Linked DNA regions of Cricetulus griseus. The protein of the gene in region 4 interacts with the protein of the main gene of each other region in a pairwise test. Links are inferred from orthologs where the notes say so. Each region holds a gene or a part of one and is shown on either strand. Other genes may lie near its edges.

Region 1 (5,079 bases), about 8.2 Mb from region 4:
TTTATTATTATTATTATTATTAAAGATTCAGGTGTATGAGTGTTTTGCCTGCATGTTCGTAAGTGCACTGTGTGCATGTCTGGAGTCCACAGAGGCTAGTAGAGGGTGCCAGATCCTCTAGAACTGGAGTTACAGATGGTTGTGAGCTGCTATGCAGAGCTAGGAACTATGCCCAGGCCTTTTGCAAAGCCAGCCAGTGCTCTTAACTGAGCCATCTCTCCAGCTCCTCTTCTGGATTTTGTTTTGTTTCGTTTTGTTTTTCAAGACAGGGTTTCTCTGTCTTCTGGATTCTTTAGATAAAAAGTTCATAAAGACTGAGGGTCGTAGCAAAAAATCCTAGTAACACTTTAACTGATTGTTGTTTATTTTTGCCTTTTCAATCTGTGCTCAGTTCGTAGAACTTGATTTCCTGCCTCAGCATCTTAAGTGCTGGGATCATAAGGGTTATGTTAAAGCAAGCGTGAGGGGAACCTTGGCGGATTTCATGGCAGGCATTGGTGGCCCAGGCGGGGGACAAACACGCCAGGCAGACAGAGCTTAGTGAGAAGTTTTATTAGAAAGGGAAGGGAGGGAAGGAAAGATAAAAGATGTAAAGAGACACAGAGAAAGAGTGAGGACAGAAGAGAAGAGGGAGACAGGACAAGTCCTGTCGGCCCCAGGTGAACAGCAGGAAAGCGAGGGGAACAGTGTGTAAGTGGGCGGGACTCTTTCTTTTAAAGGTGTCCTTTGCACCTGCATGCTGACCAAGGTACTCCTGAGTGTATCCTGCCAGGTGACAGCGGCAGGCCAGCATAATGCCTGTGTGTGCCTGTATCTAGCTCAGTTTGATTTTTGGAAGAGGTGTGATATATATAGGTTCCTCGTTTGTGCCTAGACTCTGAATTATCATCTCTCTAGGGATGGAATTAGGGAATCTACAGCATTTGGAACAAATACTGTCAATTGAGCTTTGATAGGGTAGATTTCAGAAAGAAGTCGAGAGTTAAGTAGCTTCTTTTACCGCCTGGGGAGAGGCGAGGAAGCTGCGAGAAGGCACGGATGTGAAAGTTCAAGTCATCACTACCCTCACACTTATTCTTTTAGTCAGCTGGCATTTACCGGGTATCCGTCACGTGCTGCACTTTGGAGACAAAAGACTCAGGTGATCAGAAGCTCTCAAAGTTGGTCTTCACACAAAACAGGGCAGGTGCAGATACCAGCAAGAAAATTTATCGGGGCGTTGCGGTGGACGCTCTTAATCCCAGCACCGAGACAGGCGCATCTCTCTAGAGTTGGAAGGCCAGCCTAAACTACATGGCGAGTTCCAGATCAGCCATGGATATGTAGTGAGGCCCTGTCTCGAAAGGAAGGAGGGGAGAAGGAAAGAAGAAAAAAAGAAAGAAAACTGCTTCTCAAGCGACCAAAGGACTATTGGGGGGAGGAGAATGTGACTTCGGAATGCTAGGAAGCACAGGATCCCTGCAAGAGACATGGGGGCGGTATTTAAGGGCCAAGGACTGGAACCCTCTGACCGCATCCCTAACTACTTAATTTTGCTTCTCATGGGCTTGGGGGAGATTTTCCCCACGGCCGAACCCAGCCCTAGCTAACGCCTGCCGCCCTGCAAACTACAATGCCCATAAGCCTTGGCGTGCGCTGTGCATTGTGGGATGCTGCGCGTTTTCCTAAAACGACCCCTCAGGCCGAATTGTGGAAATTCTCTCTTCTCCGCGAGACACTAGAATCCTCCTCTTCCGCCTCACGCCCGGATATCAGTGGCCATGACCATAAAAACCGGCGGCTAGAGGTTCCCAGACTCGCTCTCCCGCCCTGGTTTCCGCCGGAAGTGATCTCTAGTCGCGAGTGCCCGTCCTTCCCTGCACGCGCGGCTTCCCGGTCCCTAATTCTCGGTCCGGGTCGCCGAGTACTACCACAATGGCGGCCGCTACCCTATTGCGAGCGACGCCCCGCTTCAGCGGTGAGGAGGCGGGCTGGGGGAAGGCAGCCTGGAGACCCGAGGGGCGTCGAGGTAGCTGGGTTTGGGCCCACTCCCTTGACTCCAAGCTCCTTTCACCGCAGGTCTCTGCGCCAGCCCGACCCCAATTCTGCAAGGTCGGCTGCGGCCGCTGAAGGCCCGGGCATCGCCCTTCTTATGTCGCGGCCTAGCCGTGGAGGCCAAGAAAACCTACGTGCGTGACAAGCCCCATGTGAATGTGGGTACCATTGGCCATGTGGACCACGGCAAGACCACCCTGACCGCGGCCATCACGAAAAGTGAGTGAGTTTGGGTTGGGTTGGGTTTGGTTGGGGGCGTCCGACATTGCCCTGTCAGCTGGAAGGACCAGAGTTGGGGAGTAGGGTGTCTGTAGTCCGCTGAAGTTTAGCTTGGCGCCAAAAGACACTTCAGACGAGAACTGTTTTGGAAGATTCAGAGACAGGTTTCCCTGTGCAAGAAGAGCTCTGTGAGGCACAACCTGAAACAGTCTGAATGGCTTCTTTCTGTGTGGAGAGATTTTAAAGAGACCTGTCAGTGGAGCGGTTAAAGCGTCCGTGACAAGGACAGACCCCTTGAACAAGTCTTTCTGTCGATAACCCCCTCCCCCTGCAAAGTTATATCTCCTAAAAGAATTGGAGATTAGAGAGCTTTACCCATCCGGATTGTTAATGTATGAGGGATCCAGGCGTGTGCCCCGAGCCTTGCCTGCAGCTCTGAACCCGAGTTGAGAGGTGTGTTCTCTTCCTCCGGTAGTTCTAGCCGAGGGAGGTGGAGCTAAGTTCAAGAAGTACGAGGAGATAGACAATGCCCCTGAGGAGCGAGCTCGGGGTATCACCATCAATGCAGCTCATGTGGAGTATAGCACTGCTGCCCGACACTATGCCCACACAGACTGCCCTGGTCATGCAGATTATGTTAAGGTGAGGGTTGCTGGGGACAATCAGAACCTGCTTCAGGTCAGTGGAGGTTTGAGGGGAGGTTACAAGATAGTGGCGGTGTTTGGATATGAGAACAGTGATTTGTGGCTGCGGCTGCGGCTGTGGGTGGCGAGGACATGGCAGAGTGGTGGTGATCTTCACAACTACCTATATAGTAGTAGACAGTGCACCATTGAAGAAGTCCTTGAACTAAACTTTCTTCCTCTTCCACCCAGAATATGATCACAGGCACTGCCCCGCTGGATGGCTGCATCCTGGTGGTGGCAGCTAATGACGGCCCCATGCCCCAGACCCGAGAGCACTTACTACTGGCTAAACAGGTACCAGGGTCTGAGTGGGACGGAAGTTAAGTGAGAAGTTGGGTAACGGACGATACCATCTCAGCCTCTTTCTCACTTGCAGATTGGGGTAGAGCATGTTGTGGTGTACGTGAACAAGGCAGATGCTGTCCAGGACTCAGAGATGGTGGAGCTGGTGGAGCTGGAGATCCGTGAGCTGCTCACCGAGTTTGGATATAAAGGAGAGGAGGCCCCAGTCATCGTAGGCTCTGCTCTCTGCGCCCTTGAGGTGAAAGCAGGGACTGCTGCTTGCTGTTAGAGGATGGGGTAGAGGTTTCTTCCTTTGTACCCGAGGAGCAGAAATTTCAGTCCTGTTATCTCTCCAACAGCAACGTGACCCTGAGCTAGGTGTGAAGTCAGTACAGAAGCTGCTGGATGCAGTGGACACTTACATCCCAGTGCCCACCCGGGACCTGGAGAAGCCCTTTCTGCTCCCCATAGAGTCAGTTTATTCTATTCCTGGTGAGGCCTGTGCTCACTTGTACCCCCTCCCCATAGGGACCACCTAACCTGGGGTCCCTGGTGACCTGCCCTTTTTCTTTCCAGGCCGGGGCACGGTGGTGACAGGTACACTAGAGCGTGGCATTTTGAAGAAGGGAGATGAGTGTGAGTTGCTAGGACATAACAAGAACATTCGCACAATAGTGACAGGTATAACAAAGGAAGGCTTCAGACCCTGGGGTGATCTCAGAATGATCCTTTTGCATGTAGGGCTTGTGCCTTCCTTCTGCCTTACACTACCTTCTCTGTCTTCTTCCTAGGCATTGAGATGTTCCACAAGAGCCTTGAGAGGGCTGAGGCAGGGGATAACCTGGGTGCTCTGGTCCGAGGCCTAAAGCGGGAAGATTTGAGGCGAGGCTTGGTCATGGTCAAGCCAGGCTCCATCCAGCCCCACCAGAAGGTGGAGGCCCAGGTGAGGGCTCCAGGTGATGGTTGGGCAGGGCTAGGCCAGGTTGTTGCTTCCATAGAAGCAGGACTTTGAGAAGACCATTCATTCTACCCTTGCTCCTCTCCTCTAGGTTTACATCCTCACCAAGGAGGAGGGTGGCCGCCACAAACCATTTGTATCTCATTTTATGCCTGTCATGTTCTCCCTGACTTGGGACATGGCCTGTCGTGTCATCTTGCCTCCAGGGAAGGTATGATGGGACTTAGAGGATGTAAAAGGAGTAGAACTGGGCGGTGGTGGTGCACGCTTTTAATCCCAGCACTCAGAAGGCAGAGTTCAAGGCCAACCTGTTCTACAGAGTGAGTTCCAGAACAGCCAGGGCTACACAGAGAAACCATCTCAAAGAAGAAAAAAAAGGACTTCTACCTAAAGATGTATCATGACACAGTAGTTCGCCCTTTCTTTGGAAAGGACAGGATGAGTCCTCATCCAGTATTCCCTAGACCAGATTAAGCTGAAAGTTTAGCAATACCAGCATTCCCAGAGAAACATGCCGTAGAAAAGGGTGTGTTTTGTTTCTTCCTGCTGTGTTTTGTGAAACAAGGGAGGCTCAGAATACTCCTGATGACTAAAACTAATACTGAAACTAATACCAAATTCCTGATCATGGTCCCTTTAATTTTTGTACTGTTTGCATGTGTCTAGCAGCTGGGAGGGAAGGATGGAGCTTTTCCCAGGTAGCCTTTTCAGCCTGTTGCATTTTCTCATTTTCCCTTGGCTGCTAGAGGTATCCTGGTGACTGCCTTTTCCTTCTCCCTCTATTAGGAGCTTGCCATGCCTGGAGAGGATTTAAAGCTCAGCCTAGTTTTGCGGCAGCCCATGATCTTAGAGAAAGGCCAGCGTTTCACTTTGAGGGATGGCAACAAGACCATTGGCACT
Region 2 (5,213 bases), on a different chromosome or scaffold from region 4:
CATATGGAGCTGGGTGGTGGCGGTACTGGTGGAACACCCCTATGAAGCAAACAGATCTCTGAGTAGAGACCAGCCTGATCTACAGAGAGGAGTGCCAGGACTGTACAGAAACACCATGTATGTGTTGGGGGGGGGGGGCGGTCAAAATGTTAAATTAGGTGAAAGCATTACAAATATCCACTGTAGTGTTGGACCACTTTCATTAGTTTGAGTTTAGTTTGGATTTTTGAGTTTTGTTTGTTGAGACAGGGTTTCCCTGTGTAGTCCTGCCTATCCTGAACTCATTCTATAGACCAGCTAGCCTTGACATCCACCTGCCTCTGCCTCCCAGAGTACTGGGATTAAAGGTGTGTGTCACCAAGCGCAGCTCTTTAAAAGAGTTTTAATGTCTGAAGAACTTAAATGAATTGTTTCTTGCAGCACTAGCTGCTCTAACTTCCAATTACAATAGTTTTAGATTCTGTTAGCAATACAATTCCTGCATAATCCCAAGGACTGGGATGCACAGAAGTTACAATTAAATAGAAGGAGGGAGTTAGGTGTTCTACTATAGTGACTATAGATAACAAGAATGTAACTTAAGTAGGCAGAGTCCAAGTAGCTCAGCGGGAGGGTGATTTTCAGCCATGCTAATCTTCCAGAACTCCAGGATCTTGGATTCATGGGCGGGTGAACAGCAGCATTTTAACATTTCCAGGCGAGGCCCCGAGTTCTCTGTACGGTTCCCATGGTTTCCCCTTGCTTTGTGCAGTTCATCATTTGCTGCCACTGATCTAGCTCTTCCAGGCTCCCGACTTCCCATGTGTAGATGGTTCTTTCTTGGCGACTAGACAGAGCATGAGCGTTGCCGAGCTTTGCTTTCCCCATTCTCAGTGAGTGGGTCCAGGATGACCAGATGTAGCCGTGCTTGACGGCCCAAAGAATCAAATGCAGCCTGGTTTATGGGGACCACCCATCTAACTGCTCTCGAGATGAGATTGTCCTTTCTCACAATATAAGGACTGGGAACCAAGAACCCATTTGATTTTTCAGTGTAACACAAGGCATGCACATGAACCTGCTAGGTATTCAACCAAAAACTGATTAAAAAAAAAAAGTGAACAAATGCATGAATCAAACACGTAAAACAGGGAAAGCCATTATCACTGTAAACTACCAAACACTGAACTTGTGGTTCTGATGGTGGTGGGGGTATCTTTTCGGTACAGAAGGAAAGACTCAGGTCTGTAAGAGAAATAGTGTAAGAAAGACTCCAAATCTGGGCTTCCAGTGGGACACCAGAAACAGTAGGATCCATGAAAGGGGATGTCTCTTCTCCAGTGAGCAGCACAGCTGGATGGAGGGAACTCCCTAAGCCGCAAGTATATTTTAAGCTGCATCTCTCAAAATGTCAAAAGTGGGATTAAAGTGTAAATGATTGTCAATTAAAAAAAAAGAATGTAATTCTGCTCTAAAGCAACTGGAAAGGTGGCTATGTAAGTTCTCATGACAAAGAAATGACAAATATTTGAGATAACAAAATGCTAATTACCCTGATTTTGATCATTATAAGTATATGTAAATTAAAACATTATGTATCAACTAAAAAAAAAAAACTTAAGGAAAAAGAAAAAGTGACCAATTCCAAGACAAACCCACGATTTAAAAAAAAAAAAAAAAAAAACTGAATTGCTAAATTTAATGTGTGACCTTAAGCAAGTTTCCTCCTGAGACATGGAGTCCACATCTACAAGAGCAAGGTGTCCAAAGACACATTCTTAATGCTGGAGTGAAAGGGAAAGCTAGGTAATGAAGACAACATATTGACAACCCATAGGGAAATGCAAGGCCTTTTGTTTGTGTTTGTTTTTGAGACAGGGGTTTCACTGTGTAGCTCTGGAGCCTGCTCTGTAGACCAGGCTGGCCTCTGGCTCCCAGTGTGTCCCACCACTGCCCAGTGACAAAGGTATGTTTAACAGGATTTCCAAACGGATGAAATCTATTAGAATGAAATGAAAATCTATCTGTTCAGTGAATCCTTATTCTGAAAAACTAGGCAGCATTATTTAAGGGAGTGGGGTGAGGGGAACTAAATCTATTCAATATGGTGCGCCTGAAGAGTTACTTCAGAACAAAACCAAAGAAACTCTGGAATTATCTTGGAAAGCTGATCTTGCTCTTGAAATTTTAAGGTATTAACACCCAGGACAAATTTTTAATGGGGCTTGCTGCTGTTTAATTGGTTTGTTTTTGTTCTTTTGCGACAGGGTGTCCTGTAGCCTAGGCTGGCCTTGAATCTTCTATGTAGAGGATGATGACCTTGAATGTCTCATCCTCTTGCCTCCACCTTGAGTGCTAGGATTACAGGGATGTTGGGACTGGAACCTGGGCTTCCTACATGCTAGACAGGCACTCTGAATCAACAGCATCCCCAGCACCCAAGTTTCATGTTCTTAAGCTGTAGAGCGGACACAAGCACACAGCTTCAGAAACAGACAGTTGTGGAATTAAACCTCGGCCTTCATCTCCTCTGCTGTGTCTCTCAGGCCAAAGTACTTCTCTGAGCCACAAGATTGTCATCAGTGACAACTGGTCTTAATGACAACCCCAGTGCTGCTGACAAGTCTAACGACCTTCGGTCAACATCTGCCACACTCTAAATATCAAGAAGCAAAGGGACAGAAAGAAGTCGGTACTACGCTAGGGTCTACATAGAAATGGAAGTCCTCTAGAACATTTCTTCCTTGCTCTCCCGGCAAACCAGCTGAAAAACTTAAAACTCGTTAACCAGCAGTCACCACCGGGACTGATGGATCAAAAAGAGGACAGTAGGTAGGCCGTCTCTGCTGGCGTTCCGAAGTCCTTCTCTCCAACGACAGCTCCGGGGACAGCGAAGTTCACCTGAAGGGCATCCCCCTTACCCAAAAGGGGCCCGGAAGCGTCGGCCCTCGGCCAGGACGGCCCCAGCCTCCTTTGGGCGCGCCCAGCCACGCTCCCGGAGCCGGGGCCGGCAGCCAGGGCTCCGGGCCGGGCCTCCTGAGGACGCAGGCTGCCGCGGAGCGGAGCTACCCGAGCGCCGGCTCGCACTGCTGGCTCGCAGCCTCACCGCTGAGCCCCGCACGACGCCCGGGACGCGCCGGCGCCGCGGACACCCCCCGCGGCCGAACCGCGACCCCGCGCCTCTCCCGCCGACTCTCGAGGCTGAGGAGGACCGGACCGACTTACCTGGGCGGCGGCCCGCAGTGTAGCCTGCGGCCGGTGGCTCCTCAGGACGGCAGCGGCCAACTGCCGGCCGTAGAACATGGACGCCGCCATCTCTGAGTCCGACCGGTCCCCTTGGCACCGCGCAGGCGCGGAGACGAGTCGTGCGCCGAGCCCGCGACCCTGAACAATCCCGGGGGGGGCGGGGCCTCGGGTTAACCCTGTCGCTGCCGGACTGGCCTGGATTGGCAAGCTCAGAGCAATCTTTGACCCTCAGAGCTTTCACCTCAGCCTCAGAGTGTGCCCTGTGGCCAAAGGGCCACCAGAACACTTCCTAGAGAACCGCAGCGTCGTCGCCACTTCGATCTTCTTGTTTTCCCTGAGCCCTGGTGGACTCACCTGTAGAGTGGGGTTAATTCTTGACAGTGAATGCATGTGTTGAGCCTTTAGGATACCATAGCTTCAATAAAAGAAAATAGACAGCGCCCTGATACTTGAAAGTTTGTCACTCACTAAAGCTGACTGAACTCTGAAAACATTAGCAAAATGTCTTCGAAAGAGAGCTGGAGGGGTGGCAGACCTCAGCACCCATGTCAGGAGGGACACCACTGCCTGTGGGATCTAAAACCCTCTTCTGGCCCCCCTAGGCACCTGCACCCACGAGCACATACACGAAGTAGCACACACATACAATTAAAAGAAAATACTATCACTTTTTAACTGGAAAATATATTAAGTGAGGTAACCCAAGACCCAGAAAGATGTATTACATGTCCTCGCCCCTGTGTCCTATTAGTTACCACACCCCTACTGCAAGCATATATTATTTTCTCCCCTATGGGCTCCTCTGTAGTTTCCTGACCTCTAACCCTTACTCACACATAAATACATATGAAATTTAAAGATATGATGGTTGTGTGGTAACTAACAGGACACAAGTGAGAAGGGACAGGGGGGTAAGAGAGAAGAGGAGGGGAATCTACCAATACTACACATAAAAATATCGTAAGGAAACCTGCTAGCTGTATGCTAATTTTTAAGGATACACCCACCCCAACACATGCCTGGTGATGTATGCCTGCAATCACAGCTTCCATACTGGAAGCTGTGGCAGGAGATTAAAGACTTCCAGACTACTCTAAAACTCACAGTGAGACCCTGTCTTATAGAAAAGAAAGAAAGGGGAAATGTCCAACATAAATGGGACCTATCAGCATCCTGTCATGGAGAAAGCGAGAGTCTCATGAGGCCCCACTCCTCCCTGAGGATTAATTGACAGTTAACGGTTAATGTTGGAGAGTCAGTTTCTTCTGTGGAGTAGCCTGCACTCCTGTAACAAGCCTACTGAAACCCATTCAGTCATCAAAGAAAACACATGAATGTGAAGTGAGATTATTTGGGAAGAGGAAGGGGATCTGCAGAACTGGGAGGGAAACAAAAGAAGAAAACAGTTGAATATGACCAAAATAGATTATATATTGGGCTAGAGAGATGGCTCAGCAGTTATGAGCACTGGCTGCTCTTCCAAAGTATTCAAGTGTGATTCCCAGCACACACATGGCAGCTCACACCATTTGTAACTCCAGTTCCAGAGGACCTGATGCTCTCTTCTGGCCTCCAAGGGTACCAGTCACGCATGTGGTACACAGACATGCATGCAGGCAAACCACCCATACACATAAAATGAAATTTTTAAATGTATCAAATACAAGTCTGAAATGCTGTAATGAAACCTATTATTATGTACAGCTGATTTATGCTAATTAAACAAAGCAAAAAAGAAAGCATCATAGGCCCCACCCAAGGGAAATTAGGGCATTTTTATTAGAATCTCTGGTGCAGCAGACACACATATCATCCTAATTTCACTTCCTGGCACTGTGATAAAACACTGACAAAAGACAGGAAAGGGTTATTTGGCTCACAATTGCAGGTTACAGTCCATCATTGTGGGAGATCAAGATGATAAGAACACAAACAACTAGACATATTATATGCACAGTTCAGAGCAGAAAACAACTACTGCCTTGTTC
Region 3 (5,272 bases), on a different chromosome or scaffold from region 4:
TTTGGTTGGCATACACAAAGCTCTGGGTTCCACCCCCAAGTGCTGAGAAGTTACAAAAAGTCTCTCTGAAATACCTGTGATACAGATGTGAATATTCTGTAGCTTACAACAAAATGTTTGTCTCTAGGGGGAAAAGGTGTGTCTTCTAGTTTTGATAGTGCTGAGACCTCTGTGCTTGTTTCCTCTCTGTGGGCTTCATCTTTGCTTCCCCAGAGCCTAGAATGGTTTGGCATTCAGCCCACCTGATCTGCTGACTATGAGATGACTGAGCTCTAAAGAGACCAAACCAGGCCCTCTGAGAAGCCCTCCTAATTCTGTTACTGCCCAGCTGTGAACTGCATATCCTTTGCCTGACTGTGCGATGCTGTAACAGGAACCTAAGGGAAGGTTCCTTCTTGCAGATTCTTATGGCCAAGAGCACTTGGCCCACCTGGAAAGGTTCAAATACATGTCTTGCGTGGCATTCCCCTGCTTTGAGGGCAGAACTAGAGTCCCTAGTAGGGATGAGGTGACAGTCCAGGACTTAAGTTTAGGCTGACTTTGAAAAAGCTCTCTGGCCTGGCAAGGGGCAGAGAATTCTAAACTTAATGGAACCCTTCCTCATTCTCTGGCCTCTTTCTACAGGGACACAACACTGGTCTGCTACCTTTGAGAATCACTACACTGAACTTCCAGGAGACAGTAAATGTAGACAGACCAATATTAAAACTCTAATTACAATGCTGATAGGATAGTGGTCTCTTATCTCAAAGCAAAGGAAATATTTTGAGAGGGTTGTTAAAATTGTAATTTTTTTTTTTTTGAGAAAGGATTTCACTGTGTATCCCCAACTGAGAACTCACTCTGTAGACCAGGCTGGCCTCTAACTCACAGAGAGCAGAGCCCCCCCGCCCCCGCTAAAACTGTAAATTGTTTTAAAACACAAAGTAAATTACCATCAATCTTATATTGAAACCATCGTGCACAGATTCAGTCATTAACACTAAAACAAAGAACACAATCCTTTGCAAAATCCATTTATCTTAAATATTAACAAGTTTAGTATCTAAGATGTTTAAACTATTTTTATATCATAACTTTAACAACTTTTAGAGATTCTTATTATTTGAATAGTTTCATGCAAAATGTAATATAGTCAATTTACCTCTTCTGTCTCCCTTAAGCTACTACTTTTTTTAAATGAAAGCAACTAGCAGTTAATTCTGAAATACTTTACACTAGGACACCAACTAAAGACATTTTCTAGAACAATTTCTGTAGGAGAGAATATCAAAAATATGTGAAACCACCAGATGATAGCGCACACCTTTAATCCCAGCACTCAGGAGGAAGACAGAACTCTGAGTTCAAGGTGTACATAGTGAGTTCCAAGCCAGCAAGGGCTACACAGTGATAGGTGAAACCTCATTTCAAAACAGACACACAAACAAAAACTTCAATCAATTTGTTAAAGTTTACTTCTAGAATCAACCCATTTACGGTAGAAATTATTCACAGTTTTAGAGTCAGGTGCAATTCACAAACCAAACCACAGCACAAACACGTAGGCAGGCACACAAGGACCCCGAGTCACCCACTTCTTTCCCATAGCAATGGGTAGAAGGTAGTCCTTACCAAAAGCCTTCCGTATAATTCACAACTACCTCAGTATTGCAACAGGACACGTTATAACTAATCTTGATGGGTAAGAGATTTTGCCCAGCTGTGAGTACACGTTTGTAAAGACAAGTGAGCCTAACACTTGTGCTAGTTCGGCAGTAATGAAAGGCGAGACAGTTACCAAATGTTGCATGTGACCAGCTGACGGCTATGAAGAAGAAGAAGAAGAAGAAAAAAAAAGCTGCAAAGGGAAAGCAGCTGTAGCAGTATGAAAAGGAAAGTTTGTTCTAGCTCTCTTTCATCCACTTAGGTCGGATGCTTTTCCAAGTCACAAAAGAAACATTGTGTCTATGGCCCAGAAAGTTAGCTGAGATTGTGACCAAACTGGTCAGGATGAAAAAAGAATGTGAGCGGTGAGCTCAGCACAGATGCGATTTCTCATGATTCAGTTCTTTACAAAAACAAAAGCACTTGTTCAGGCTGGTGAGGAAAGGGCCAGAGATAAGCTTTAATCATGATTAAGGAAACCCCTCCTCCGGGATGCTGAGGACACCTGGTCCTTTCTGGACTTTGTGTTGCTGGATGTGAGCATGCACGTGGAGTCTCAGCAGAACCTGCACTTTACAGCTGAGGAAATCAGCTTTACAAATGTTAACTCACATGGTCACATATGGCTGGTCCTTTATCTCAATCTATAGTGGACTTACATAGGGATAATCTGTGATTATTACAGCCAATAAAAAAAGCATTAGACCTTGAAAGCCTCTAGGTGACACAACTATGATTATCGGTACCAGGAACTGAACCTATGGCCTCGGGAATGCTAAGCATGAGCTTCTGCCACTAAACTACACCCAAAGAACCACAGTTGGCTATTTACTGCAGATCTTCACCCCACCCCCAGCACACCCATATGTATTAAATAGCTATCTTTCGGGGGCGATTTCTTCAGGGAAAATTCATCCCTCTTTCTCCAGGAACCTATCCACTTGTCTCTAAATGCCATGACAGGAGATGCTGCCTGCATGACATCTTCTGACACCTCTTCTCAAGATCCTGTTGTAAATGCCTTTTGAAAAATTCAGACAGTATTAGAGGACTTCCCAATCCTTAGAATCCTTGCACGAAGAGTAGCTGGACAATTGCAGATAGAGACAAAGCAACTGCATCAGCACCTAACAACTAACTTCCTGGGAAAAGAAAAACGAGACACTCGCTAGCCCTGCAATGTTTCTCATGACTCTCTAACAAGCCTCATGCCCGGTCTAAGGCAGGATCTCCAGAACTGGCCTCTACTCGCAGTCCTTAAAAGTTTACTGAAACCAAATGCTTCTGAGCTTCTGCCGCACAGCCCCAAGTTGGGTGGTACAAGAAGATGAAGATGTCCGGTTAAGGTTTTGGGCACCAACCCCCATTGGGGCCTCCCTGAGTCCCACTAGTTATAGCCATAGCCACACAATAGTGGACCCACAGGCACACCGACCATCCGCAATGAACCGAGGCTGGGCCTTAGACACAGACACAAACACACACGGATATGGATCACGTGCATGGTCACAAGGACCGGCCCACCCGTGGACGACACTCACTAGTCACGCATGCTCGATACACACCCACCTACAACCCTACACGCACCACACACCCTCACTCCGCTTTCCAAGGCCTGCCCCTCACCTGCCGTGGCCACCCCCGCGTCCCTTTCTCTCCAGCCCAAACGGCTCTTCGGCCCGGTTCGGGCGCTGCGGAGGCAGGCGGCAGGGCGCGGGTGGGCCGGGCGGCTGCAGAGCAGAGGCTCCGCGGGCGCAGCAGGTAGAGGGGGCGCGCGGCTGAGCAGCCAGAGGCCGCCGCCTCCCAGGTCTGAATCCCGTAGCTCCCTGGGGCGCGCCTCCCGCTTCCGGGTTCTGAGGGGCGGGGCCGGACAGCGAGGAAGGGGCGGGGCTCTGGCGGTAACTATGACAACGAGGCTGGCGTGGAGCCCCGGATGGGAGCTTCTGTGCTCGCCCGAGCGCAAATGTATTGGAGCAATGCAGAAGCTGGCGCCAGTGCTGGCGTTGGGTCAGGGTCCGTCCTAGGTCACCTGTCTGACATAAGCACCAGGAGAAAGCTATGGCAGTGAAGTCTGTGCTTCTGCCTTCAGTTTTCGGGTGGCTCGTGCTTCGGGGGAGACATCTTTGGGTTCTAGCTTTGGTGAATAGAGCTTGATGTATTTGGTTGGTTGGTTTGGTTTACTTTTTGGTTTTGGTTTTTCGAAGCAGGGTTTCTCTGTGTAGCCCTGGCTGTCCTAGAACTCGCTTTGTAGACCAGGCTGGCCTTGAACACACAGAGATCGTCCTGCCTCTGCGCACTTCCCGCCTTGTGCATGCGCTACCACCGCCCGGCTATATATTCTTTTTTAATTAGCATAAGTTAATTAAATCACAATAACGGCTTCATTAGGACATTTTCATATCTACATAAAGTATTCTGGTCATCACCCTGTTAGTCTTTATCTTCCTCTCATGCTCCCATCTCCTCCCTCTTCTTAACTACATACTTTTTCTCAACAGAACTAGTTTTCTCTGTACAGTTACAGAGATCCTCCTCAGACCTCCTGTCCAAACTGTCTCCTTTTGCGGCTTTGTGCTGATGTTGAGGGGAACATACTCAACACTAGGCTTGCCCTCAGACACAGGTCCTCTTCTGTAAGGCTCACTCTAATCACTGTTCTTACAAAAGAGGGTGCAGATGTTATGACTCCTTTCAGTAAGTAGTTTTGCTCTGAAATAATGTATGATCATATTGAATTATCTGTAAATCTTGTTTGAAAAATTTTAAGAATCTTATAGCAAGATCTTAGTGTTTTAAGGAGAACTTAAAAATATATCTTTTTAAAAAAATTTTATTTATATAGCTTCACATGTCAATCCCTTCTCCCTCTCCCTCCCTCCCCAACCTCCCACCAGCCCCCCCTCCCCCCTCCACTCCCCAGGGAGGGTAGGGCTCTCCATGAGTGCTCCCCAAAGTCCACCACATCATCCTGGGCGGGATCTAGGCCCTTCCCTATGTGTCCAGGCCGAGACAGAGCATCCCTTCACGTGGGATGGGCTCTCAAAGTCCCTTCTTACACCAGAGAAAAATACTGATCCACTACCAGGGGCCCCATAGAGTGCCTAGGCCTCCTCATTAACATTCACGTTCAGGGGTCTGGATCAGTCCTGTACTGTCCTCCCAGACAGCATCTGGGGTCCATGTGCTCCCCCTTGTTCAGGCCAGCTGTTTCTGAGGGATTCACCAGCCTGGTACCGACCCCTTTGATCTTCACTCCTCCCTCTCTGCAACTGGGTTCCAGAGATCAGTTCAGTGTATAGCTGTGGGTGTCTGTCTCTGCTTCCATCAGCCACTGGATGAGGGCTCTAGGATGGCATAGAAAGTAGTCATCAGTCTCATAGGGGAAGGGCATTTAGAGTAGCCTCTCCACCATTGCCTAGATTGTCAGTTTGTGTCATCCTTGGAGATCTCTGGAAATCTCCCAGTGCCAGATCTCTCCTCGGACCTACAATGGCTCCCTCTGTTATGGTATCTCTCATCCTGCTCTCCTCTATTCTTCCCCCAACTCAACCAAAAATATATCTTTATTATTATTTATTTTTTATTATTATTATTTATTTTAATTGTGTGTGTGGGAGAGTATGTG
Region 4 (4,475 bases):
CTATTCTTTCCTTCTTGGCCCAGCTTATTCCAAATGTCTCCACATGAGCCTTGGAATGATAGACCCTCAAGAGAGCACTCACCCCAGTCTTTAAAGGGGGCCTTACGTTATGGCCAGAGGTAACAAAGGATGGCTATGGTTTCAGTCACATATAGCTGACCTGAGCAGTTGCCACAGATGCATGGTTAAAGACCAGTGTTTTTCTTTTGTTTTTGTTTTCGAGCAGGGTTTCTCTGTGTAGCTTTGGAGCCTGTCCTGGCACTCGCTCTGGAGACCGGCTGGCCTTGAACTCAAGAGATCTGCCTGCCTCTGCCTCCTGAGTGCTGGGATTAAAGGCGTGCGCCACCAACGCCCAGCGACCAGTGTTTCTTTTTATGATTTTGAACCAAGTCTTTCTTTGTAGTCAAAGCTGGGCTTGAGATTACAAGATAGCAATTTGAAAGCCTCAGACAACCATAGGAGTTATGATGACCTTGGCCTGAGACCTCTAGTCTGTTCTCAAATGAGACCCCAAGTTATAGCATCCAACTTGAGGTGTAATTTCAAAAGGCAGACAAAAGTCATCTCCCGATTAATATCAACCACCTGTGTTGGAAGCAAAGGTACAAGCTCTTTTGAGCCTCTTCTGTCCCTGCTGATCCCTCCCCTCAGACTTTGGAATCTCAGTGTTTTCCTTTCTGTCTAGCACCGTGCCTAGGTGTTTCTTTCAAGACTGCCTTAGAGGGCATGGGCTTATAATGACAACAGGGAAGTTACTAACCAGATTCATAAACTCGAACAGTTAACAACACAATTGAGATAAAGAGGTTCCAGCTTTTTTTTTATTATTATTTTTTCCCCTTTTACACAAAACAAAGTAGAAGAAATGATTAAAACTGCCAAAGTAGTTAATTGGTAGAACATATATTATTCACACATATACACACACACAAAACTCCAGGTAGGAAGACAGGCTTATTTACAAGAAGACATGTATAATTAAGGTGGATGTCATGAAACATTAAGAAAAAAACCAAACATGCTACAACAGGTGCCACTGTTTACAGTGCTGGGGAGGTGAGAAAACAGAGGCAGACCCAAGGTGCAGGCTTCACAGCATCAGTGCAATGGATCCACAAACTATGTTATAGCTAGTTCATGGGCTAAAGACTTGTTCCCCAATGTGTCCTATTTTGGCCCTCAGAGGTTCAGTCCTGCAGATTTCAACTGCTCTAAAAGTCTACCTACTGAAAGGGCATGTGATCACAGTAAGCTTAAGTAAGGAGTTACAGACGCTACACAGAGCAGTCACCCGTCAGCAGTCTGCTCTCAGCTACAACCCTGCAAAGGGAAAGTCAAACACCAGTGTAGACACTGCTTCCACGTATAAATCTAGAGCCACTGAAATACAGCCAGCATTATCGGGTAGGAGTGGGAATATATGAGAATTTCCGGGCTTCCTTTTAAAAGATTTGTTTTTCTTTTTCTTTGTTTTTTCCCTGGTCTTAAAAATTAATGGATGTTCTAGTTTTCTGAGTGAACAAAGAGGACATTTATATCCTTGGCTGGCCTAGGAGTAAAGTCCCTGAAATTTTAAGTCAGCTGAAAATCTGGAACAAAGAGAGTGCTAAAATTTCCAAATACAATCTTCTGAAGTTTGTTGTTCCAAAGCTGTTAAAGGACTAACTTGAAGCAATGCAAAGGAAATGAGAGGTCAGATTCCTCCTGTGAACAAAGGGGCAATGCTTCCTAAAGCTGCTACATCTCATACAACAGAGAACTCATACACTAGTGTGTGGAATTTTATACTATCCCATGGGCATTCTCCCACAGTGGAAAATCAGGAATGAAACTTAAAATGGTCTCTTCATCGAAAGTGGTAAACCTGGTCTCTGTACTCACAAAGAGACAATTTGTTAAGCAGACTGTGGAAGCAGACAGTAGAACCAGCTTCCTGTAGCCACAGACCACTACCTTGAATATAGCTAAAGCAAACATCAACTATTACCCTAAGTCATAGTTCACTGTACGAAAGAGCAAAGTTCACCACTTCAGTATTTTAAAGGAAGTTGATAAAAATAAAAATTCAATAAAACAAGTTATACGGCTGGGAATACACACAGCTACACCTGACACTAGACATAGCACAAAGCCTGGCCTGTGTGAATCTCTATTAACAGGAACAGAGGGAGGGAAGCAAAGAGCCACTGTAACATTTTAGTATCCAGACAGCACTGTACAACTGTTCCCAGGGGCAGGGCGCACTCCACCGAAGCTGCATTATTCATTTTTCTTTTCTTTTTGCTTGAGAAGCTTGTTTATCTCCCTTTTGGCCATTCCAATGTACTTCAAAATGATTCCGTGTTGGTTTAGTCCAGGAAGCAACAGCATAAAAGTCACTTGAAATAAAGAAATGAAGTTGAGGAAGCAGTATTTAACTCACAGACTCTGGAGGAAGTAACATGAAATGCACTGTCCCATCAGGATTCAGTCCCAGAAACTCCAGCTAAAATGCCTCTCTACTGCCTATGCACTCATGCTCATGCATTATGCTATCTTACTACCCTTGTCTTTACTTCCCACAAGGCTTTAATAAACTCCCTGAAAACAAGGGCCAGACTTCTTTAAGATTTTTATTTTATGGGTATACACAAGTGATTTGCCTAAATGCTGGCTATCAGATTCCCTAAGACTGGAGTTATAGGCTGTTGTGAGCCAGCTTGTGAATGCTAGACATGGAATCAAACAAATGCTTTTAACCGTGAAGCCCTATCTTAAGTCCTGACTTGAAATCTTTTTGCTCTTGAGAAAAGATAGCAGGGCGGCTGTAGTGCACGCCTTTAATCCCAGCACTTGGGACACAGAGACAGGCGGATCTCTGTGAGGTCAGCCTGGTCTACAAATCGAGTTCCAGGACAGGCTACAAAACTACACAGAGAGAAAAAACCCAAAGAGAGAGGGAGAAAGGAGAAAGGAGAAAGAGAGAGAGAGAGAGAGTGAGAGAGAGAGAGAAAGAGAGAGAGAAAGAGAGAGAGGATCTCATGTAGCCCAGGCTGATTGTGAATGTGACATGACCTTGAATTTCTGCTCCTTCTGTATCTAGGTCCTTAGTTTTGGGATTAGTTTTGTCTAATACTGGGTATCAAATCTAGGGCTTGGGACACACAGAGCTATGTCCCCAGCACAGGCTGGAGTCTTCAGTCTTCACCTTGCTACACTTCCACAGGCCTGTGAATACTCACTTATCTATTTATTGACTACACTATACAGACATCCCTGTTAAGACCCATGCAAGATGTTTCCTCAGTGACTTACCAATAAGGTAGGTAAGAAGCAAGTTGTGGACTTGCTGCCCCACCCAAGCAACCGCAGCAAGAGAAACAATCATGGTCATGAAGTACTGTTAAGGAAAAGAACAAGAACTTGTCAGCTCTAAGCAGCAGACTAACACGGGCAGCTCTGAAGGCTTGCTTCACTCCTCTACACTGTGCACAGGTGACCAAAGCACCGAGGCTTATCTACAGAGGACCAAAGCATCATGATGCACTCCATTACACATACAGCTTCACTTGTGGGCTTAACCAGTTTTCTTTTAAAGGCTGGGAAAATAAGATCATTTTTATTACCTTTGTTTTATAGAATGTATATATATTTCCTCTTTAAAATAAAAACTATGTTACCTTTCTTGTTAGCAACTTTCCACCAAAACCAAAGCTAAGATATAATAACACGGTTTTTTGTTGTTCTTGTTTCTTGTAACTTGTTCTGTATACCAGGCTGGCCTCAAACTCAGAGATATCCACCTGCCTCTGCCTCCTGAGTGCCAGGGTTAAAGGCATGTGCTGCCACCGCCCAGTTTGGGAGCATTTCTTATTTATTTATTTATTTATTTATTTATTTATTTATTTATTATGTATACAATGTTCTGCCTGCATGTATGCCCGCAGGCCAGAAGAGGGCACCAGATATCATTATAGATGGTTGTAAGCCACCATGTGGTTGCTGGGAATTGAACTCAGGACCTCTGGAAGAGCAGGCAGTGCTCTTAACCTCTGAGCCATTTCTCCAGCCCCGAGAACATGTTTTTATGTATATGTCTTTTACTTCAGCAAGACGGGGGGGGGGGGGGGGGGGATGGGGGGGGGGGACGACGACTTACATCCACTATAATAAAAAGTTATATACAAAATGTAAATTTTACCTTTCAATGATTTAGCTACCTCATATAACATTTATGAATATATGTAGGCATTACACCAAAGGATAATAAGTACTGAACTTCACTCCTAAAAAGGCTGTCACTAGACTGAAATTACAACAAACTCAGTATTTTGCTTCACATTCCAATAAGTAAAACAAACAAACAAATAAATAACAAAATACCATTTTAGGCTTCTCTTCCTTTAGAGAAAAGAGGCGTTTCCACCAGCCCACAGCTCTGCGTCGAGTTTTTACTAGATTACTGCAGATTTCATGAAATCTTTGCTGTTGTTCAG
Region 5 (4,928 bases), on a different chromosome or scaffold from region 4:
TTTAAGAACACTTGTTCATACAAAGGACCCAAATTCAATTCCCAGCTCCCCTGTGGCAGCTCACCACTATCCATAACTCCAGTTCCAGGATGCACATGATACACAGACATAAAATAAATAAATCTTCTTTTAAAGTTTTTAATTTAAAAACTGCCATTTTGTGGGCTTTGACTAAAGAACAAATCAACAAAAACCTGTTCTTTCCTTTCCCTCAAAGAATGGCAAAAATATTGTCCATCACAGCACCTAGCCATCTAAGAAAAAAGCTACTACATATAAGGCTAGTCCTTGGGCTCCAAACTACAATCATATATGGAAGCCAGAATTGTATAACACAGGATATTGAGGGCTTTGGGGTTCTGCTCAGCACAAAATAAAGTAAAAGGAGAGAAAAAAAAAACACAAAATTCAAGTCCACATTGACACATCCATATGAGCCAGGCCTAGTGGTGCACGCCTTTAATTCCAGTATTTGGGAGGCAGAGGCAGGTGGATTTCTTGAGTTTAAGGCCAGCCTAGTCTACAAAGTGAGTTCCAGGGGGCTGGAGAGATAACTCAGAGGTTAAGAGCACTGGCTGCTCTTCCAGAGATCCTAGGTTCAATTCCCAGCAATCACATGGTGGCTCAAAACCATCTGTTATGAGATCTGGTGCCCTCTTCTGGTATGCATATATACATGGAAGCAGAATGCTGTATACATAATAAATAAATAAAATATTAAAAAAACAAAGTGAGTTCTAGGACAGCCAGGGCAACACAGAGCAACCTTGTCTCGGAGGAAAAAAAGAAAAGAAACATCCATATCAATATGTATAATGATGTGAGGCCACCATAGCACCTTTCCATACTCCTCAGGCAGGCAGGATCCATTCCTGAATAAAATTAAAGAGAATAGCTTCATCAATATTTATTATATGGAGCTGAAGGTGTAGATCAATGGAGGAGTGTGCTCAGCATGCATGACCTGAATTAAATCCCTAGCACCAGAAAAATAAATACAAATGATTTTACATATTTTTTCCAAAAGCTAGTTCAATAAAACAGTAAAAGCCTCAAATCAACTCAAATCCACAGAATGAAGAACCACCATCAACTCTATCAACATTATATAACTAGAACTGTGAAAGGGACTGATAAAAAAGCTCAGTGTACATTTCGCATAAGTTTTGCAACTAAGCCTTGACCAAGTGGTGGAAGAACATGGACTTTGGAGTTAGAGACTTGGTTTCAAATCCCAGCCCTATCTGATACTGTTATTTGCACTTGGAAAAACTACTAAAACTACATGCTTTCCTGATTTTTACTTTTTAAAAATGTATACAAAAACTAAAACCTACCCAGGTTTACTGACTCACGCCTTTAATCTCAGCACTTGGGAGGCAGAGGCAGGCAGATCTCTGTGAGTATGAAGCCAGTCTGGTCTACAGAGCTAGTTCCAGGGCAGCCAAAGCTGTTACACAGAGAAACAACAAAAAAACAAAGAAAGAAACAAGCTTTCTTCATGCTGCTATCACTTTTACCCCTTCAGTTTAGGGAGTACCATTTCTCCCTAAGATTGTCAAGCACAGGTAGAATACACATTCTTATTCAATTCTTCTAAAAAAATGAGAGTACCATATGTCTCTTGGATCTTCAATGCTATTCAAGAGGGATGCTATTCACAAAGAATATCCTGGGTGTGTAAACTGAGAAGAAAATGCAAGGAAAACTTTTTTAAAAAATGGTTCTTAATTTGTTTTAACGTGTACCACTTCAACAGGGAAAAAAAACTTGTGAACCAGGTACTCTATCTGCACATTCCATCCTTGCCCTATGGACTAAGCACTGTGGACTAAGAGAATAAAGTCCCCTGGGGTGCAAACTGGAAGAAGCCATTCCTAGAGCAGTTCTGAAATGTCATGTATTAAAGTAAATACAGACCAGGGACAGAAAAAGGCAAATGGCGTTTTACAAAAAAAAAAAAAAAAAAAAAAAAAAAAAAAAAAAAAATGAGAGCCAATAAAAACTGAAGTAAACATTCGGGATACTTCAAATCTAAAGGATCAGCAGAGGATGGGAGCAGCAACTGACAATCCACCAATCCCAGTGCAGGGCCGGGTTTCACGTAAGACACGGCATTGTGGTACCTAAGAAACTTAAGCATAAAACATTTCTCTCTTTCAGATGTAAATCTTAAACAAGTCAGCAAAGCATTCAGTCTCAAGATTGCCTTTCTATTTCTGCTCTCTCTCACAAGCCCGCCGTCTCCCTTTCCAGTAGTCTTTCCTAGAACTAAAAGGGTTTTTTTTTTTTTTAATTCCATCATCCCAGAGAGATCTCATTAGAAAGAAGCCCAGACTTCCCGTTCCCTCACCCCCACCCCCGCCTTTAGATTGACTTCCATAACCTAGTTCAGTTATGGGACCCAGCAATAAATCGCCTTGGTTTTCCATCCCCCAGCCTTCTTCCACCCTCCCCTTTTGTCCCTCTGTCAATCAAGATCCCAATCTACTTGAATTCCTCACTAATCTTTGTCCATCTTCCACACCCTGTCCAGCCATGCTTTACTTCTGCCTCGTGAGTACTTGTTTTCCTGCGCCCCCGCCCGAAGTCCCCTCTGGAGTTTTCTGTACCCTCGGGCCACAACTGAGTCTGCAACCTTCTCTTCAAACCTTTCAAGCCCTAACGCTCATGTGACCCCCTCCAAGCTTCCCCGCCGTTAGTCGTCCCCATGCCCCCTCCCCTCCCGCGTCGTCCGCCCTCAGCTGTCTCCCTCACCCCGTGACTCACCCGCATGCGAACCTCATAGGTGGTGAAGCGCGCGCGGCCCACGCCCACCGTCTGTGGATTAAAGATGTCTATCTCCAGGAAGTTACTTGGCGGCCCATAAGCATCAGTCAGGTCCTGAGGCTTCGAGTTAAGGCGCCGAGTGTCAGCCACTGCCGTGTCCGACATCTTTTCGAAGAAGAGACCCGTACCGGTGAAGGGGGTGGGGGACAGAAGCCTGAGGCAAGAGCGAGCACGGCCCCTCCCGCTTGCAAAATAACCAGCCAACCCACAGACAGCGGCGACGCGCACGCGCACACGCATGCGTGCACGTACACACCGCCCAAGCCTTCAGGCCCGTCGCCCTGAATAACCACCATGCTGACTAGGGTTTATACCTTAGCGTGAAAGCGTCATTCAGACTTCCGGGTGGTACTGGTAAATGCCCCGGAACCTGCATCTGTAATACTCCATATCCAATGCTTTCAGAAGCACCACACTCAGGCTCCACCAATCTGTGTTCCTCAAATTCCAGAAACTGTCTCGTCCCGTGCATCAATCAGCAGTGGGCACTGCCCCGCGAGCTATTATCCATAGGTGATAGGCTGAAACCCCAGGTCCTAAATAAGTACATTCCATGAAAATAGGAGAATGGTTTCTGGAAGGTGGGGTTCCAACAACAGTACCAAAAAAATGTAGAATGCAGCCCCACCTCTTGTGCCACTGATAGTTTCAGTTCAAGCTACACACAATTGAGTATTCGATAAGAAATACATTATGGTGCCAGAGAAGCAGCAAATTCGAATTGGGTGAACAATAATGATTTCATATTCTCGCTTTTCAGGAATAGTGGGTGTATCTTCATTCTCCACATGTTGCTACATAACAACTAATTCCAGGTGTACTCATTTCTTTTATTTCAGGGCACTTATTTCGTAATTTCTGTCTATATTCTGAAGAACTCCATCCACACTTGGCTATGCTCTGAGCTTCCTTGCAACCTATGATGAAGATATGTGTCTATATGAGAACATCTATAGAAAAACATAAATACATATGTATAAAATGTATTTGCACACAGGTACATGCTGAGACAGAGTCTTACATTTATCCCAGCTGGCCAGGCACTTGCTATGTAGGCCAGGCTAGCCTCAAACTTGTAGCAATGCTCTTGACGATGCCTCTTGGTTTCTGGTATTACTGGTCTGTGTCACCATGTCCAGCTAGGAATATTAGTTATGTGATGTTTTGGTTTTGTTTTGTTTTGAAACATTGTCTTACGTATTCCAGGCTGTTTTCAAACTCACTTTGTAGCTGAGAATGACCTTGTACTTCTGACCCTCCTACCTGTGTCTCCCAAATGTTGCGATTATAGGCATGCTCCACTACACCCAGTTTTGCACAGTGCTGGGGATCAAATTCAGGGTCTATCAAACAAGCTACATCCCCAGTCCTTCAATATACATTTTAAAAAACTGGCTTATGCATGTCCAATATTTTTTAATTATTTTATTATTATTTTGATTTTAAATAAGTATTTTTATGTGTCTGCATAGATGTTCATGAAGCAGGTCCATGCAGTGCCCAAGGAGTCCATAGGAGGAGGTCAGATCCCCTGGACCTGAAGTTATAGATGGTTGTGAACCACCATATGAGTGCTCGAAATCAAAGCTGGGTCTCTGCAGGTGTAGCCAGTGCTCTTAACCACTAAGACATTTCTCCAGTGCTACATGTCCCATATTAAGGGGTAGACAAGTGGAAATTTTAGGTCATCTTTCCTTTTCCCTTCACCTAACTTCCCCTCCTAAAAAATTCTTATATCGCTGATGATTGAATTCTTTCAACAAACCACATGGGTTTACAATTTGACAATTAAGTTATTTAGTTCAATATAACTGAGATTTATAAACTACTTATGTGGCAAGCACTATGCTTAATTTCCTTTTTTGTTTTTTCTAAATCTCTGTGTAGCCTTGACTGTCCTGGAACTCACTCTGTAGACCAGGATGGCCTTGAACTCACAGAGATCTGCCTACCTCTGCCTCCCAAGAGCTGGGATTAAAGGCATGTACCATAATGGCCAATCATGAGTTAACTTTCTAAGCAAAGACAAGTAAACAAAACTAATGTGACAAATATAAACAAGCATTCAAAGTAGCATATAGAAGCTATGTAACTGAACT
Region 6 (4,972 bases), on a different chromosome or scaffold from region 4:
TTGTTTGGTCTGCTTTTATGAGTCAGGATCCAGGTTGGCCTGGAACTCAAGATCCTCCTGTCTAAGCCTCTCAAGTGCTGGGTGAAATGTATACCACCACACCTGGAATAATTGTTTTTGGATGTATGGCATGAAAGACTGGAAAATGCTACTTTCAAAGCTCTTCCCCTGAATGCTGTGGTGTGCATACTCACAGTCTCAGACCTTAAGCAAGCATACTACTTAGTCACAAGTTCAAGGCCAGCCTGAGCAACATAGGCAGAACCTATCTGAAAATAATAAAGTATTAAGACCCCTTTCTTATGTATTAATGTCCAACCCTCACTCCCCACTCCAGGATGTAGGTTGGGAAGGAACAAAGAGCATACCTGATGGGGAGATAACTGTTGGGAACCTGTGATGGTTTGAGTAAGAATGGCCTCCACAGGCTAATACATTTGAATGCTTAGTCATTAGGAGTGGCACTACTTGAGAAGGATTAGGTGTGGCCTTGAACAAAGTGTGTCACTGGGAATGACCAAGCCATGCCCAGTGTCACTTCTCCTGCCTGCCAATCTGGATATAGAACTGGATGCTACCTCTTTAGCACTATGTCTGCCTGAAGGCCAATATGCTCTCTACCATGATGATATGGACTATACCCTTGAAATCATAAGCAAGCCCCAATTATATGACTTCTTTTATAAGAGTTGCAGTGGTCATGGTGTCTCTTTGCAATAATGGAACAGTGACTAAGACAGTCCCCTACAGTCCAATAAAGGCCTAGTCCAGTGTTGCATCAGTGCCATTCCTAGCCAACCTGGTGGGAATGTATATATAGGCCTTCTTTGTCTTCAGGTCCCTACCTTGTCATAGAGGGTATCCACAATGCTGTCCTCTTCACTAGTGCCCAGCAACTGGGCCAGTAGCTTATGCCCAAAATGCAGATAGACAAGTCCCGCACTGCTCAACTTGGTCTGCCATGGCTTCCCAGGGCACAGGGAACTCATAGTTTCTGTAAAAGTCCTGAGGAGCACAGGGAAGGGCTACAGTGAAGGAGTTGGTTCAGGAGTCTAGTGTGTGCATACAAGTTTACATGTGGAGACCTGTGAATCGGTAGGATGGGGCATGCTGTACGAACAAGAAGAAAACCCACTCAAATGATGTTTGCTTTTCCTCCAGTGCCAACATAGGCCTTGGTTCAAAGCTTCTATTCCTGCATTCACTTGACAATGGTTGGAACTCATCACTTACTGAATGCCAGGCTTTGTGCTTTGCATATTAAGGAGAAAAACTAAGATCCTGTCCTTTCAAGTTCATCAGTGGGAGGTGGACAAAACAACAGAGCAACTGTAGTTCACAGGACCATGAGGACCTGACCTCCAGATGCTCAAGTCCTTTATGTAAAATAGGGCAGTGTTTGCCTATAAACTACACACATCCTCCTGTGTGTATATATGTATATTTTTTTTGTTTTGGAGTCAGGGTTTCTCTGTGTATCCCTGGCTGTTCTGGAACTCTGTAGACCAGGCTGGCCTCAACTCAGGAGATCTGCCTGCCTCGGCTCCCCGAGTACTGGGATTAAAAGTGAGTGCCACCATGACTAGCTATAATTTTTTTTCTGGATGGGAACAGGTCTTGTGTGATCCAGGCTAGGCTGAAACTTACTCACAGATGATAACCTTTAACTCTTGACCCTCCTGCCATTACTTCCTAAATGCTGGGGTTACAGGTGTGCACCACCTTCCTTACTTCTCCCATATTTTTTAGATCATCTCTAGATTACTTAATAGGATACAGATGTTAGGTAAGTAGGTGTTATACTTTAAAGAACAAGAAAAGCCTATTCACATTCCATACAGATGCTTTTTACTTAAACAAACAAACAAAAAAACAAAACAAGCCAGGGACTAGAGAGATGGCTCAAAGATTAAGAGCACTGGCTGCTCTACCAGAGGTCCTGAGTTCAATTCCCAGCAACCACATGGTGACTCAAAATAATCTATAATGAGATCTGGTGCTCTCTTCTGACATGCAGACAGAACACTGTACTCATAATAAATAGATTAAACAAGCCAGGCACAGTGGCACACACCTTTGATCCTAGTACTCGGGTGATAGAGGAAGGCAGATCTCTGTGAGTTCTAGTTCGAGGTCAGCCTGGTCTACAGAAAAGTTCCAGGGCAGCCAGGGCTGTACACAGAGAAACCCTATCTGGATAAACTACAAACAAACACAACAGAAGGGGACAAAATTTCCTGAACTGGAAGGAGGAGTCATGAAATTTTGGAGGTGGGAAGTGGGGACACTCAAGTTTGAGATGAGGGCGAAGGGTGGCAATGGTGCTGTGGGTAACAGCTCTCTTCTGTTGCCATGATAAAACACGGCAGAGACCAACATAGGGCAGCATCAGCCCACAGTTCACCACAGCAGGGAAGGGGCAGGAGTTTAAGAATCACATCTCACCCATAGGCAAAAGCAGAGAAAACTAACAAGCCTATGCATGCTTCTATTGCTTGGCTTACTTCTAACTCCCGCAGTCCAGGAATCAGTGCCCCGCCCCACATCAATCAAGGTAATCAAGGCATCCCACATAGGTGCCCACCAGCCAGCCTCAAGTGGATAATCCCTCACGGAACCACTTCCTAGGTGATTCTGAAATCCAGGTTGTGTCAAGTTGAAAATTAAAACTAACCATCACCGGGCTGGGGATGATAAAAGAGCTGGTTGCTCTTGCAGCCCCAGAGGCAGATTCAATACCTACATCCACATGGTGGCTCACAACCCTCCTTTAACTCCAGGGCAGCCCGACGCCTTCTGACTTCTGCGGGCACCAATGCACATGAATCCAGGCGAAACACACACACACACATTAAAATAAAAATGCACAAGACCACCGTAGTGGACTATCCTTGAATTAGAAGGATTCAGTTGCCTGCAGCAAGGTTTCAGTCCCAGAGCGATTAAGGAGTTTGGTTTCAACCACGAGGCAGTGGTGGACTTGGGCAGTAAAAGGCAGAATTGCAGCACAAACGAAAGATAAATCAAGGCAGTCAGAGAAGAGGTGTTTATGAACTCACCTCTGGTGATGATCGTAACGGTGTCTCAGAGGGTTGTACTCGCCACCCACATCCACCACGATGTCACAAGAAGCCAGTTTTTCGGGGTCCCGAGTCCGCACAATCTCTGCATCCTGCAGACACAGAAAGGAGGGGCTGTCAGGCAGGAGTCAGAGGATGAAGGGTGGGTTTCCAGAGGTGTGGTGCTCAGGTTAGTTTTCCTGGCCGTCCATACCTTGTACTCTGGCAGGAGGCGGAGCAACGCGCAGGCCAGAGCCTCATCGCAGTGGAAGGTGCCGTTGTGCGTCCCGATTCGCGGCGGTGCCATGAGGTTGCTGCGAGGCCTTTTAGGGGGCGAAACGGACTCTGAACCGAGCATGCGACGCTGGGTTTGGAGAAGTGACCGCAGCGGCAGCAACACTGTTAGGATATCACGCAGGAAACAACCCATAGGGTTCCCTCCCCTGGAAGGTTGACCCGGAAGAGGAAGTGTCTAGTGCATTTCACTTCCGCCTGCAAGCTATCCCCACGGCAACGACAAAAAAAAAAAAAAAAAAAAAAAAAGTGCACGCTTTCTTCCAGCTCCTCAAAGCCCCAAGTGGAACCTCGAAAGGCAGCGTGGCTGACCCATTTTCGTGTTCTAGGCGAAAGTACACCTCTGGACACTCCCAGTTCACCACCAGTCCCTTGTTTAACGCAAGAAAAGACCACCATTTGCCCACCTGGCGCATTTATTAACATTAAACACAAGACCCTCTCTTCCCAGACACCAATAGGCCACTCCCCACAAAGTCCTAGGCCCCTTGAAACAGGGTTCCTCTCTGCTTCTTTTCTGCAACATATCCTCATGCCTTGGCAGTCGCCTGAGTCGCCCCCAGGGCTGTGAGCTGCTGGATCTTCTGGCTCATCGTTTCCATGACAGCTAAGAGAGAAGGAGGAGAGTCATCCTAAGGGACTATACGGGAGAACCCAGGTGAGGAACACACACACAGTCTACACTGTGTCAGTCAGTACAATAACCGCTGGAATGTATGTCCAATGAGACTGTTTCAAAACAAAAACAAAAAGCCACCAACACTTCGATGGCTTTAACATCAAAAGCAGCTCTTCCTATACCCGTTTTCCAGACTGATTTAGTTGGTGTGAACTGGACCTGCACTTTCTTTTTAAACTTCCTGGAGGACTGCTATGTACAGCCGCCAATGTGGTAACTGCTAGTGTTTTCTTAGCAGATTTCTACTGTGTTTATAGACATTTTATCCCAACCCATTATCAGATTTCTTCTTAATCACTCAACCCCCAGGATAACACATCAGGACACCAAAGAGAAACAGAAACATCTTTTCTGTTGTTGAGACAATGTGTCTTTACATAGTGCTGGCTGGTCTCTAACTCAGAGATCTGCCTGCCTTTGCCTCTCAAGTGTTGGGATTAAAGGAAGTGAACCACTACATCTAGCAGAGACATGGTTTTAACTTGGAGAAGATACCTCCAAGGTTTTTTTTGTTTTGTTTTTGTTTTTGAGGGGGGGGGGGTCAAGACAGGACTTCTCTGTGGCCCTGGAGACTGTCCTGGAACTAGCTCTTGTAGACCAGGGTGGTCTGGAACTCACAGAGATATGCCTGCCTCTGCCTCCCGAGTATTGGGATTAAAGGCGTGGGCCACTGTCCAGCTTTGTTTATTTTTAAGATTTATTTAATCATGTAGACAGTGTTATGTCTGCATGTATGCCTGCAGAAGAGGGTACCAGATCTCATCATAGATGGTTATGAGCAACCATGTGATTGCTGGGAATTGAACTCAGGACCTCAGGAAGAGCAGCCAGTGCTCTTAATCTCTGAGCCATCTCTCCAGCCCTAATACCTCCAAGTTTTATGTTATTATCCATGTTCTTTTTTGAGTGTATATGTTTATGTGTGTCCACCACTAAGCAT

The links.
Region 1: the proteins of Arl6ip1 (region 4) and Tufm interact in binary tests that used the Homo sapiens proteins (3 or more experiments, as listed by UniProt). The two-hybrid records come from large-scale screens. The link is inferred for Cricetulus griseus from reciprocal best matches to the Homo sapiens genes ARL6IP1 and TUFM.
Region 2: the proteins of Arl6ip1 (region 4) and Sucla2 interact in binary tests that used the Homo sapiens proteins (3 or more experiments, as listed by UniProt). The two-hybrid records come from large-scale screens. The link is inferred for Cricetulus griseus from reciprocal best matches to the Homo sapiens genes ARL6IP1 and SUCLA2.
Region 3: the proteins of Arl6ip1 (region 4) and Spg21 interact in binary tests that used the Homo sapiens proteins (3 or more experiments, as listed by UniProt). The two-hybrid records come from large-scale screens. The link is inferred for Cricetulus griseus from reciprocal best matches to the Homo sapiens genes ARL6IP1 and SPG21.
Region 5: the proteins of Arl6ip1 (region 4) and Snx12 interact in binary tests that used the Homo sapiens proteins (3 or more experiments, as listed by UniProt). The two-hybrid records come from large-scale screens. The link is inferred for Cricetulus griseus from reciprocal best matches to the Homo sapiens genes ARL6IP1 and SNX12.
Region 6: the proteins of Arl6ip1 (region 4) and Myg1 interact in binary tests that used the Homo sapiens proteins (3 or more experiments, as listed by UniProt). The two-hybrid records come from large-scale screens. The link is inferred for Cricetulus griseus from reciprocal best matches to the Homo sapiens genes ARL6IP1 and MYG1.

What each region holds. Positions count from the first base shown.
Region 1 is NC_048596.1:74,281,824-74,286,902, reverse strand, and holds the start of Tufm (elongation factor Tu, mitochondrial), read left to right. Parts: upstream 1-1,797; 5' UTR 1,798-1,914; coding exon 1,915-1,957; intron 1,958-2,058; coding exon 2,059-2,253; intron 2,254-2,728; coding exon 2,729-2,895; intron 2,896-3,128; coding exon 3,129-3,233; intron 3,234-3,315; coding exon 3,316-3,480; intron 3,481-3,580; coding exon 3,581-3,713; intron 3,714-3,797; coding exon 3,798-3,902; intron 3,903-4,012; coding exon 4,013-4,164; intron 4,165-4,270; coding exon 4,271-4,390; intron 4,391-4,965; coding exon 4,966-5,079. UniProt on the Homo sapiens protein: GTP hydrolase that promotes the GTP-dependent binding of aminoacyl-tRNA to the A-site of ribosomes during protein biosynthesis. Also plays a role in the regulation of autophagy and innate immunity.
Region 2 is NW_023276807.1:228,053,127-228,058,339, reverse strand, and holds the start of Sucla2 (succinate--CoA ligase [ADP-forming] subunit beta, mitochondrial), read right to left. Parts: upstream 3,353-5,213; 5' UTR 3,295-3,352; coding exon 3,205-3,294; intron 1-3,204. UniProt on the Homo sapiens protein: ATP-specific succinyl-CoA synthetase functions in the citric acid cycle (TCA), coupling the hydrolysis of succinyl-CoA to the synthesis of ATP and thus represents the only step of substrate-level phosphorylation in the TCA.
Region 3 is NC_048597.1:177,057,837-177,063,108, reverse strand, and holds the start of Spg21 (maspardin), read right to left. Parts: upstream 3,493-5,272; 5' UTR 3,274-3,492; intron 1-3,273. UniProt on the Homo sapiens protein: May play a role as a negative regulatory factor in CD4-dependent T-cell activation.
Region 4 is NC_048596.1:82,519,548-82,524,022, reverse strand, and holds the end of Arl6ip1 (ADP-ribosylation factor-like protein 6-interacting protein 1), read right to left. Parts: coding exon 4,363-4,475; intron 3,380-4,362; coding exon 3,295-3,379; intron 2,379-3,294; coding exon 2,260-2,378; 3' UTR 794-2,259; downstream 1-793. UniProt on the Homo sapiens protein: Positively regulates SLC1A1/EAAC1-mediated glutamate transport by increasing its affinity for glutamate in a PKC activity-dependent manner.
Region 5 is NC_048604.1:69,026,062-69,030,989, reverse strand, and holds the start of Snx12 (sorting nexin-12), read right to left. Parts: upstream 3,044-4,928; 5' UTR 2,935-3,043; coding exon 2,770-2,934; intron 1-2,769. UniProt on the Homo sapiens protein: May be involved in several stages of intracellular trafficking.
Region 6 is NC_048595.1:398,710,216-398,715,187, reverse strand, and holds the start of Myg1 (MYG1 exonuclease), read right to left. Parts: upstream 3,528-4,972; 5' UTR 3,490-3,527; coding exon 3,274-3,489; intron 3,173-3,273; coding exon 3,060-3,172; intron 1,006-3,059; coding exon 846-1,005; intron 1-845. Other genes in the region: Pfdn5 (prefoldin subunit 5), read right to left, coding at 3,884-3,960. UniProt on the Homo sapiens protein: 3'-5' RNA exonuclease which cleaves in situ on specific transcripts in both nucleus and mitochondrion. Involved in regulating spatially segregated organellar RNA processing, acts as a coordinator of nucleo-mitochondrial crosstalk.